Linked DNA regions of Diceros bicornis minor. The protein of the gene in region 2 interacts with the protein of the main gene of each other region in a pairwise test. Links are inferred from orthologs where the notes say so. Each region holds a gene or a part of one and is shown on either strand. Other genes may lie near its edges.

What was found. The genes of interacting proteins can lie anywhere in the genome.
Region 1: the proteins of C13H1orf94 (region 2) and VENTX interact in binary tests that used the Homo sapiens proteins (3 or more experiments, as listed by UniProt). The two-hybrid records come from large-scale screens. The link is inferred for Diceros bicornis minor from reciprocal best matches to the Homo sapiens genes C1orf94 and VENTX.
Region 3: the proteins of C13H1orf94 (region 2) and RBFOX1 interact in binary tests that used the Homo sapiens proteins (3 or more experiments, as listed by UniProt). The link is inferred for Diceros bicornis minor from reciprocal best matches to the Homo sapiens genes C1orf94 and RBFOX1.

Annotation. Positions count from the first base shown.
Region 1 is NC_080745.1:95,298,080-95,301,823, forward strand, and holds the start of VENTX (homeobox protein VENTX), read left to right. Parts: upstream 1-1,495; 5' UTR 1,496-1,960; exon of another isoform or gene 1,961-2,092; 5' UTR 2,093-2,769; coding exon 2,770-3,007; intron 3,008-3,744. UniProt on the Homo sapiens protein: May be involved in ventralization.
Region 2 is NC_080752.1:48,636,847-48,640,590, reverse strand, and holds the start of C13H1orf94 (uncharacterized protein C1orf94 homolog), read right to left. Parts: upstream 2,178-3,744; coding exon 1,849-2,177; intron 1-1,848.
Region 3 is NC_080765.1:41,860,409-41,864,152, reverse strand, and holds the start of RBFOX1 (RNA binding protein fox-1 homolog 1), read left to right. Parts: upstream 1-1,062; coding exon 1,063-1,161; intron 1,162-3,744. UniProt on the Homo sapiens protein: RNA-binding protein that regulates alternative splicing events by binding to 5'-UGCAUGU-3' elements. Regulates alternative splicing of tissue-specific exons and of differentially spliced exons during erythropoiesis.

The DNA.
Region 1 (3,744 bases), on a different chromosome or scaffold from region 2:
CCACTCACCGCCACCCCCACCACGCCCGTGCCGCCCGGGTACAGGTGGGAGGCGGCCCCCCCGGCGCGCAGGTGCCGCGACGTAGAGCCAGCGGCCGAGCGCCAAGGCCACGCCCGCGTGTAATCCCCGGGTCTCGGGGAAGGCGGTGGAGGGACGGTGGAGGGGCAGCGAACCCGGGGGCGCGGGTCCCAGAGCCAGGGGAGGAGCAGGCCCGGGGAGCCCTAGACGCTGCTCCGAGGCCAAGTGAGGAAGCTGAGGCTAGGCACGGGTGACATTGGCCCGAGCAGCCGGCGGAGACAGAGGGGCCCACAGTGCAGGAGGGAGGGGTGGGGAGACCCCAGTGGACACGGCCGGCCGGGTGAGGGGAGAGGGGCCTGAGCCCGTGGCAGTGCTGAAGGGAATGACCGAGGGGCCGCTGGGAGGAGGGGATCACACCAGGCAGCAGCCAGAGCTGGAGGGGAGGACACAGGAGGGAGAGGCTACTTGACCTGCTGAGGTGGGGTCACCTTGGACTCTGGAGTGGGACTCAGGTAGGGGAGGGTGTAGGCAAGGAAGCTGGGAAAGTGGAGGCCGGAGGACGTTAGAGGAGGGTCCCTGATTACGGAGCAGATGGCTGGGCAGAGCTGAGGAGGGTGCTGAGGAACGTGCGGGTGTGGAGCCAAGAGGCCAGGGGACCCGGCGGGAAAAATCAGAGGTGAAGAGACGCTAAAGCAGACTTTCCAAAGACCAGAACCTGAATGGCTGACATTTCACGAATTAACGCTGCTGAGTGCACAATGCAGTAATTTCCAACAAATGCTCCTTTGTCCGGAGGAGGCCTCTCCGGCCTGTTCTGTGCGTACTGAGCAGCCATGGGGGGGCTACTTCCCTCTGCCCGGTTTGTGAGGTACCCTCCCACCCCCGTTTGTCCCGGAGGAGCTCTGCGCAGGCCTGCACCAGCTCGGCCTCTGTCCCCAGCTAGCTGGACGGCCCCTGTCGCAGTGGTGCTAGCAGCCTGCCCCAGGGCGTCCTTGGAGGAAGCCCTGGAGCCACGCGCACCCGAGGGGACCTCACTGTCCACCTCCAGGACACCCTGCAGTTCTCGTACAAGACACCTCACCGGACACTAGGCCAGTGATTCAGATCCCAGCCTCCCCCTGCGGGGTCCGGTGATCTAACTGGGCTGGTGCAGGGGCGGGAGGAAGGCCCAGGTCAGCGGCGTTGTGGCCCTTCACACGCACGGGCGGTCAGCGCCGCCTGGTTCCCCGCTGTGCCCGCGGGGGTCCGGCTCCCACATCATCACCGGCCCCTCCCCTGCCCGAGAGGCTCAGGAGGCGGGGTCTGGGTGCTAATCCTGGGCGAGGCCGCCAGGCCTTTGATCTCCGCCGGGCCGCGTGGGCGCGGGCGGTCGTCCTTGCCCCTCCCAGCCTGGCGCCGGCGTCCCCGGGGGTCGAGGCTGCTGACTCGATCCGTTTGCACTGAAGCCCAGCCGCGCGCTCGGGTCCGGACTAGCGCTGCACCCGACTCCAGCCGCCGGGGCCGTAGCCTGGACTCCCCCCAGCCCGCGCCCCAAGGGGCGCCCAGGGCCCGCCGGGGTGGGTTTCCGCAGCACGTGTCCGTCTGCCGGGTCGCGTGCAGGAGACTGACGCTCTCCCGCGAAGGTTGTGGGGAGGCCCGGGGGAGGCACCGCCGGCCGTGGCTTGGGGCGGACGGCGTGGCGCACCTGGCTGCCTGCGCCTCCCGACGGACGCGGACGAGGCCAGTTCAGGGGTGAAGTTCAGGAGTGAAGCGGCCGCGGGGACAGGGTGACCGTCTCGAGGACACCCTCCTTAAGTTTTGGGCTCCACCGTCCCCCGGGGGCTCTGCAGTTGCCCAGCCCCAATGGGGGCAGCTGGGGCGTGGGAAGAGTGATGTCGCGTGGCTGCAGCTGAGTTCACGCCCTGAGCGAGCACACCCCCCTTCGTGTCACCCCAATCTGGAGGTAGCTCCTGGGGCACCGAGTGAAACCCAGCAGAGGGGCTGGGCGGGGGCGGTGGATGGTGAGAGAGAAGGGCCTGCAGAGCGGAGGGTCCTTCTCTGCACAGCCCCTCCCCGCCCTGTCTGGCTTGTGCAGTCTCCTTCCAGGAATGCCTGCCCTACATTCCTACCCAGCTGGACAGCCTGGACGCAGCAGACACCCGCCCTGGCCGGGCCCACTGTGTCCTGCGAGCAGCGATGCTGACGCCCCACTTGTAGCGAACTCTCCCTCACCGCGGGCACTGCAGACACACGAGGCAGGTTGGAGGACCAACCTGGAGCGAGAAGATGACCTGGCACCCCATAGGACAAGCCCCCAGGGAGGGTGCTGGGGTGGGAGGGGCCGTCCTCACCTTCCTGCAGCCTGGGCCAGCCGGGTGGGGGTGGGGGAGATGAAAGGATGTAACGAGTTCCCAACCTCCCCCAATCTCCCCTAACGCTGACCGAAGCCCCGCCCCTCCCCAGACATCTTGGAGCCGGGGGAGGTGCGAATGGCCTCCTTTGTGCCTCTGAATTGAAGGCAATTAGGTGCTACTTATCTGGGGGGGGATTTGAGCCATCTATGCAGACCTGCCTCCCAACCCTCCTTCTCCTGAGCTTATAAATGTAGCCCGGCCCTGCCAAACTGAGGCGACCCTGTGCTCAGCCCAGGCCACCTGACCAACTCTCTGCTGACGCTGCGCCCAGCCCCCACCGTCCGCCCTGCAGAGGACCCTGTACCTGGGCCCACCACCATCTATCCCCAGGATCCTGAGCAGAGCACCACGTCCAGCCATGCCTCCCTTCCCCGCCCTGCCTTGTGGCCGCAAGCCAGCCTCCAGCTTTGGCTCTGTGGCCTGGCTATCTCAGAGCAGCCATGCAGAGCAGTCGCACACCTCCAGGCCCGCTGAGGTCTCTTGGGAGAGCTTCTCTGCCCCAGCCAGGGTGTCCGGCAATGGGGAGCCCCCTCAGACCGTGGGCATGGGGGAGGTGAAGTCCTCAGAATTGTCTGCGCCAGGGACGCCCACAGCTGGTAGGTCTGGAGATGGGGGGAGGTCCCTTCCTCCCCAGATGAGGATGGGAGTTGGGGAGGGTTCAGGAGGTTGGGGGCATTCTCACTAGGGCTGGGGTTTGGGGTTTCCTGACCTCTCTGGCAAGTGAACGCTTCCCCTTGGAAGCAAAAGCCACAATGGGGGGTTTCCCTCCTCAAGCCCCTTGGGGCTCCTCTTTCCCACCCACCTCCTACAGGGGCCAGCCCCCTGCCCTCTTGCCCAGGCCTGGGCCCACCAGTCGCCACCCCCCACGTCCTCACTGTGAGCCATAACGCTGACGTTAGTGCCTTTGTGCACGTGGATTTCAGATTCTGTAAAAGTCTTCGGGACCCATTTCCACCATGAGTCACAGGGTTGTGGATAAGTGTGTCATAAAGCTTATGAAACCTGCCCAGTCCAGAGGGCTCCTTGTGGCCCCACCCGAAAAGCCGGGCCCCTTAGTTTGGCACCTAGACTTGAGTTGGAATCCTGCCGCGTTAGTTCACGGGGAGCCACGACCTAGTGACGCCGCCCTTTGCATTTCCGCATGTGTGAATTTTGGTGCCTTCTGCGTGCTCGGCTCCCGGGAGGTCTGGTGGCTCCTCAGCTCTGTCTGACCTTTTGTTCACTGCCGAGAATCCTCAGTTTTGTCTCTGTGACGTAATCATCACTTTTAGGTTTAAAGTCCAACGTGGTCAAAAATGGGGTTCTTGTTATACATAAGTTTTCATTTTTAAAA
Region 2 (3,744 bases):
CTAAGTCAGTGGTTTCCCAGCTCTTTTCTCAGTAGCAAAACTCTTTTTTCAAACGCAGCCTTTACTTAGAACTCCAGTAAGTAAAACCCATAAAAGCCAAACAGCTCTGACTGAAATGGGCATGGGGCCCAGCAATCAGGCCACTTGACTCTAGGGTGGCCTCTGAAGCACCCTAGGGTCTATGAGCATAGTGTGAAAACCCCAGACTGAAGCCAACAACAACAAAAACCCCCGAACCCTGAGAATTACACTTAGGGACAGCCTCATTTGTATAATGCAGCTCTCCATTTCCTGTCTCTCATCACATTTGATCCTCATTATCAGCTCTGAGGTGGACAAGGCAGGGCATATCATCCTCAATTTGCAGATGAAAAAATCAAGGCCAAATGGAGTTAAGCAACTGGCCAAAGGTGCGCCAGGTCGCTTTTCGGCCAAGTGCGAACTGGAAATAGAGGCTGTCTCCATTAACTCAGTGTGACCTGGCAGAGATGGTGCCATCTACTGGAAATTGCCACTGCCCCTTGTTCCACAAAGTGGACAATCAACTCCTTGGCCATTGAGAGCTGAGCACAGCCCCACGGGCCCCCTGACAAGGGCCCATCCCAGAGCAGATGGCAATGGGCAGGGGAGAGGGACTCAATACCACTGGAGGGCCGGACAGTGGGATTTTGGCTGCAGAAAGGCCATTCCCATCCCAGCCATGTCTTGCTGAGCACAGGGCAGGGGAGGCAATAATAGCCAAGGTGCCTTCCACCTTCATCTGCAGCAAGTATGTGAGCCTGAAAAGGGACGGCAGGTCGTGCAGACCTGGGCGGCAGTTACCCTTTGCCTGTCCTCTTGCTCTTGCATAGAATTCCCTGAAACCAGACCAGCTGATAATTGCCTGAATGGTTCCCCTACTCCAGAGCATCTCTGAACTGAGCTGGAGCATGTGTTAGAACAGGCAACACTTAATTATCACTTAGTCTTTAATTACCACTTAATTATTAACACTTAATCCATCTGTAAAATGGGGACACTAATACCTGCCTCCTAGGACTTCAGGAGGATTAATTAATGCTGGCAGCCCTCTTTGAAGATGCAAAGCATTGAACAAATGCTCAACAGTGACATTAATAACCATGGCGGATTCACTTGCTTTTCCTAACGAGGTCCCTCCTTCCTCTCCTTGTAAATATCCATCTCCAACAATATCTGTCCAACTTTGCCCCGGCGGAGAAACACTTAGCTCTGTGTTTCCCAGACACAGGATTTCCCAACTAGGAAATGGGCTATTTACAGCCATCTTCCCGCACGTTAATTTTCTATTATGTCCTCTGAATATGTCAGTGCCTTCCCAGTAAATATTTTGATGTGTGCTCTTGCAGCAGCTTCTGTGGATGCTGAATGGGACAGCTGCTCCCTGTATTAGGGAATTCCAGATGTGGTTTAAAACCACCAGACTCATCTGTGCCAATGCCTAGCCTTTGGAGGCAGGAGGGGGAAGGATCTTTTAGTTGCCTTGTGGGAAAACTGTGATATCTAATGCTCAGCCCTGACTAAGGTGGTTTTTCAAGGTTCTCAGGTCTACATCTGAGTTGCCTATGACTTAAGGATGAGAAATGTCCCCTTGTGGGCTGGTGAAGAGGCAGCAAAAATTCAGCCCTAGTCTGGCCTGTCACCCAAGTAACTTCAGGACCCCAGTTAACTCTCCCATAAAAATTGGCCAAAGGACCATGGGGGTGGAGAAAAAGTATACAGCCTTTAGGGTTGAACCAGACTAAACAGTGGGCCAGAACATTCCCCCAGAAGGTGAGACCTCATCTCCTCCCTCCTCCTTTGATGCCCACCATGTTGGGGGACACTCACTCTTCTTGGAAGCTGAGCACGTTGTCTCCTGGAGTCCCAGCCATGGGGGCAGAGAGCTGCTCCTTCGAGGTCCTGGGCTGCAAGGCCTCGGGCAGGCCCTGGACTCTCTTCCAGATTTCATGGCAAGTCTTGTCGAGGCTGTCTTGGGGCGTGTCCTGGTGGATCCAGATGTATCTGGGGAATGGGCCCAGGGCAGAGGGGCGCTTGGCCACCAGGGCCGACGATGAAGGGAGCCCATTCCCACTGGCCATCCTCCTCCTCTCTTTCCGGAAGCCCCTTTGTCCACCCAGGGTTCGAAGACAAGGGGACCATCCACCACCACCCCTCATTCACCAAAAAGGGAAATGAGGATGGGGCAGAAGCAGGTTGCTCCAGCAAGATGAGTGTGCTCAGAGGCCTTCGATTTGTGTGTGAGTGGTGGATGGAGGACAACTTTCCTTTGGGGAGAGGAGCTTATTTCGATTTGCTTTTATTTGCTCTTTCCTGACTTTTGCCCCCCTCCCCCTCTCCCTTAGAAGAAAATATTTAAAAGTCAACAAAAACCAGTAGCTTAGTAACCGTGGAATCCCCCTGAGCTCAGGAACCAGGAGCCTGGAAGGGCAGGATGACATCTGGGAACAGCTGGAGGGGGAGGGCGGGCTCTCCCCACGGTCCCTGGCACTGCCCCGTTGCGACAGGCCCGTGACACCTTGCGGCGCCTGGGGCTCAGCCCATTCTCGCCCGCTAAGCCTCGCGGAGGACCGGGTGAGCGCCTGGCGCTGTGCTAGGCACCGTGCAGGCCGGAGCCCTTCATTAGAGTCTCATTCGGTCTTCCCAGGGACGCCCGCGCGCTCCGAGGGCCAACGGCCCCCGCCCCGGCCGGCCGGGCAGGCTGGCTCTCCCCGCTGCCCCTCCCGGCCCCTGTCCAGCGCCGCTCGGCCGCCCCCGCACGAAGTGAGCCGAGCGCACAGCCGCTCGCAGCCCCCGGGGTCGGCGCCCCCAGCAGGCGCCTGCCGCGCCCCCCGCGCTGGCCTGGGACTGGCCTGGGAAGGGTCCCAACGCCTTAAAAGGGTGCCGTCTCGGCGAGGCGGGCCGGGCCGGGCGGCTTGGATCGATTTGCGAGCCAGTGGCTCCCACACCCTTCCCGTCCAGCGCTGGAATTCCTTCTGTGGGTTTCAACCGCAACGGCTCGGTGCGCGGGGCGCCGCGGGTTCGGTGCCCCATGCCCTCCGGCGGGGTGGGGGTGGGGGCCCGGAGGACCCCAGAGCGCCTTCCCCTGTTAGAAGCCGAGGGCGCCGCGCCCCGCCTCGCTCCGCCGCCACTCCGCCCAAACCTCAGCCCTGCGGGGCCCTGCCCCTGGCTCCCCTGTTTTTACCCCAACTGCCATTTCACTGGGCGCTTACCCTGTGCCAAGTGCTGGGCTTCCTGTGTGGTCATGTTGAATCCTAACGAGCTCATGAAGTTAGTACCATTGTTTATTGTCGTTGTCCATTAGAGGAAACCGAGTTCAGAGTCCTAAAGGGGTGTCTCCACGGCCCACAAGGAAGTGGGGAGCTGGGATTCAAACCCGGGCCCACAGGCCTGATCCCGCTCTCAGCCGCTGAGATAGACCGTTCCCCCCTGCGCAGAGGTCAGCGGGTGCCGGGGTGGGCGGCGCGGTAGCAGGGGAGGTCGAGGGCCGAGGTGCAGAGAGAAGGGCTGACTTAGGGTTTGCTGCCCAGCGGGCTCCCCCCGTCACTGGAGAGGCTCCGTTAATCTCGGAACTGACCCTCCGCCTGCCCGGGGCTCTCTGGCCACAGGAGTCAGTGGTTGTTCCTCCGGTGTTTCCCCAGAAAAGGAAGAGCAAGAGGACGGGAAAGAAGAAAGAAGAATGGCCGCGAATAGACGATATGACAGTCCATAGATGAAGAGTTGAAC
Region 3 (3,744 bases), on a different chromosome or scaffold from region 2:
GCCTGCCCAGCCAAGACGAGGCGCAGAGCGAAAGCTGCGCCCCACACGCCTGGGGGTGCATCGCCGGCCGGGCCGCCCTGCTGGGGGTGGGGGGACCCCCAGAAACCGCCCTGCCTCAGGCGCCTGCAGCCCCAGCCCCCCCTGCCCCCAGCCCCTAGCATCGTCTCAGCACTCTCACGAGGGGGAATCCCATTTCTGTGTTTATTTTCCAACGAGTCAGGCAAACAAACCGCCACCAAAATCTAAGACTCCGGGTCCCAGCTGGGCAATCGCAGTAATTGTCCAGCTCGCCTGGATGCTGGCGATGTGGGGCGCTCGCTTGCTTCCTCACCCGCCCCGCGGAGATTTTTAGCAGACACAATTTGAATTTTGGTGAGTCGTTTAAAAAAAAAATAAAAAAGGCAAAGGGGAGGGAAAAAAAAAAAAAAACAACCCTGCCCCTGGACCCATTTGACAAATGAGAAGGCACGCAGCATCAGCACCAGCCGAGTGAGCCTCAGTGTGAGTCAAAATCCCTCTCTCTCTCTCTCACTCTCTCTCTCTCTCTCTCTCTCTCTCCTCCTTTCTCCCCCTCCTTCTCTCTCTCGCCCTTAGCTTTATCCCCCCCCTCTACTCAGCATCTACAGGAGGGCATCCACCCCCTCTACCTTTCACAGAAGTTGCCTTTGCCGGTTCTTGTCATCTTCCCGGGGGCGTGGAGTGGGGGGCACCTTCCACTTTGAGGGGCATCAGAAAGTAGGCCCAATAAACCAGAGAAACGATAGCGCCACAAAGGAAACAAAATAGTTTCCTGGCCCTCTCAAGTGTCTTAGTTGGAGGCAGATGAACGCCTGGATCTAGCAAACCCTGAGGGAAGGAAAGCGAGGGAGGAGGGACGCGCGGGGTGCGGCAGCGGGGAGGGAGAGAGAGAAAGAGAGAGAGAGGAGAAAGACAGCCACCGGGTTTTGACTTAGATAATCAGCAAAATTAAAAAGAAAAAAAAAATTGTAGCGACCAGGCAAAGAGCGGCGTGATTGCATGCGAGCGTCCCCAGTCGTGCTTGGCGGGCGCCAGAGAGACACGATGCAGCATCCTCTGACGGGGGCCACCTGCGTGGCGCTCCCCAACGTGGGCATGTGTCCCCAGCTCTCGTGTGCCTTGACTTTTATGTACTTACAGCAGGTAAGGCGCGCGTCTTCCCTCGGTGGCTGCTTTCCGGGGCTCGGCGAACTCGGTACCCGCGTCGCTGGGTTGCGCTTTGGTACCTTGGAGGGGTTTGGGGAAGGGGCTCATGCTTTTGGACGGGAGGGGTGGGACCGAGCCCCTCGTTCTCTGTGGAGCCCAGACACCCCGCGCTGAGCTGTTTTTACACCTCAATGAATACTTTGAACGCCTGATTCTGAGCTTGGGTACAGGGAGTTTAAAATTGCAAACTGCATCTTCCTACCTCGCATTTTTCTCGTGACAGTGCGTCCGGTGGCGATCTGAGTCTAAGACCCTTTTGATGCTAAGAGTTATGCTAAGAGTTTGGATCTTTGTGGAGGCACTTGGGTGCCTGGAGTTTTAATTCAGCTGTTTTAATAGGGAGTGGAAAAACATATGTGTGTGTGTACGTGTGCTCCGTATTTTTGTTTTCTTAAGTTTGTCTGGGTTGTGCTATATTCAGTCCGCTTGGGATGGGAGCCTTTGGGTTTCTGGAGTGTCTCAGCCCCAGAATCTGCCTCCAAACTCACTGGTGTGCTGTGATGAAGGCGAGCAGTTTGGGATGCTGTCTTTGTTGGCATGTGTAAAGGCTTTTTTTTTCTCCTCTATTCCCTTTTAATGGTCTTGCCAGGGATTCTGTGTTTATATTCCCTTCTGTGTACATTTCAGAATCATTCATTATGTTTCTCTCTGTCTTTCTCTGGGTATTTCCCTTGGACCCTCTCTGTCTCTCTTTCCTTCTTTACTAGTAGGGCTGCAGGCTGAGTTGGTTCCTGGGCTTGGGAACCTTGTGGAGTGACAAGCCCAGCTCTGCCTCACTGGGCAGGGGCTGCGGATGTGACCGGCAGGGATAGGAGGGTTTTCTCATGCCGATGGGAATCCTTCTCCCTTCCTAGGATCAACCACCCTGCTGCATGAAGAGTTAACAGTGATTGTAGACATTTTATTTGTTTTTCGATGGACTCCCTTCCAGAGCACCATTTGTTAACTGTGTGTGGTTGGGGTTGACTAAACTTCCTCTACGAGTGTTCAGAGGGGCCTCCTTCTCCGAAGACCCTCAGTTTCAATCTGTGTTACAGGAATATATGTGTTCATAAAACGTCAATATTCTGTTTCCAACATTTGGGTAATTTGTTATCAAGTTGGTTGCCTCCAGAAAATCGCTCTTAGGTGTATTTTCTGTTGCAAGTCTTTTTGCCAACAGCCTTTTTTGTTGTTTTAATATCTTGGAAACAAATTGGTTTATCTTTTTAAATATTGTTTTATTCCATTTCTCATTAAGTAAATTGTGCCAGGAAACACTTCCCAAGAGCCTACTGGTAACATATTATATGATGCATCTGCTTCTAACATTTCTATGCCTTTTCTGTGAGTTCCCGTGTGTGTGTGTGTGTGTGTGTGTGTGAGTGTGTTTTACACCAGTTACCCACCAGAAGAGTGTCCTAATGAGCATTTCTACAGATGATAAGCCTCAGTTGGATTTAATCAAATTATTAATATTAGTTGATCATTTGCTCCCTGTATTCACTTCTTTCATGTTATTTATGAATCAGTTTGAACAGCAGTACCTAATAAATAGAATGCTATAGGTAGTCAGTGTTCTCACACTTTCTCTGTGCAATATTCTTTTTTTAATAGATCGATGTTTCCTCCTTCTAGATTGTTAAATTGGTTTGCTCATTTAGACACAACTCAGGAAAGAAGACAGGGACTCTGAGTGAGAGGTTATTCTTGCCATGAAAAGGACAAGTTTATAGGATCCATGCAGGAGTTCTCAGCATCTCCCAGGCAATCTTTTCCAGGAGGGAAAATACTCCTGCCATGGAAAGGGGAGGCTCAATGGGAATGTTAGCAGCCATGACAAATATTTAGAAATGACTAAATCAGAGTCATGGTTCTATATGAAGATAGATGGAGGTGGGTTTTTGAAATGTGCTTTGGAATGCACCCCGCTCTTGAAAGGGCTTGTCATGCTCTCAGTGGAAGTATTTGTAAGGTGATGCTGTGATAGTGTCAGAATGCGGTGTGTGTGCGTGTGCGTACGTGCATGTGTGTATTTTTCTGAGTTTCACTAAATGCCTGAAGCATAGTACAGGCAGACATTTATTTTTGTCTGTCTTATTCAGAATCAGGTTTTCTAGCCACACCTCCCATCCTTCCTAAAGGCTCACTCTCAGGGTGGGAGAGCCATACCTTCAGGTCTCTCCCAGCCATTGCTGTCATGATAGTTTGTGTAGAAGTCTCATGTCACTGCTTTTATTTAGCAGTCCAGATAATTGGCTGATTAATGGTGTGAAATAGTTCACTTCAATATCCACAAACCACTTACCGATACGATCTATACATCGTCTATACATATATTGCCACTATATTTTCTATCTGCTATTAATCTATAGCTATTATTGTATCTCTATTTAATTTTGATGATCAGAGGGCTAATATGTACTCTCAGAGTTAGTTGATCAAATGATGAATTAGGCAACATCTGTGATAAATGACACCTTCGTTGGAAACGTTTTATTATTATTTAGAAATAAACATAGTTCAGGAGTCTTTGTCATT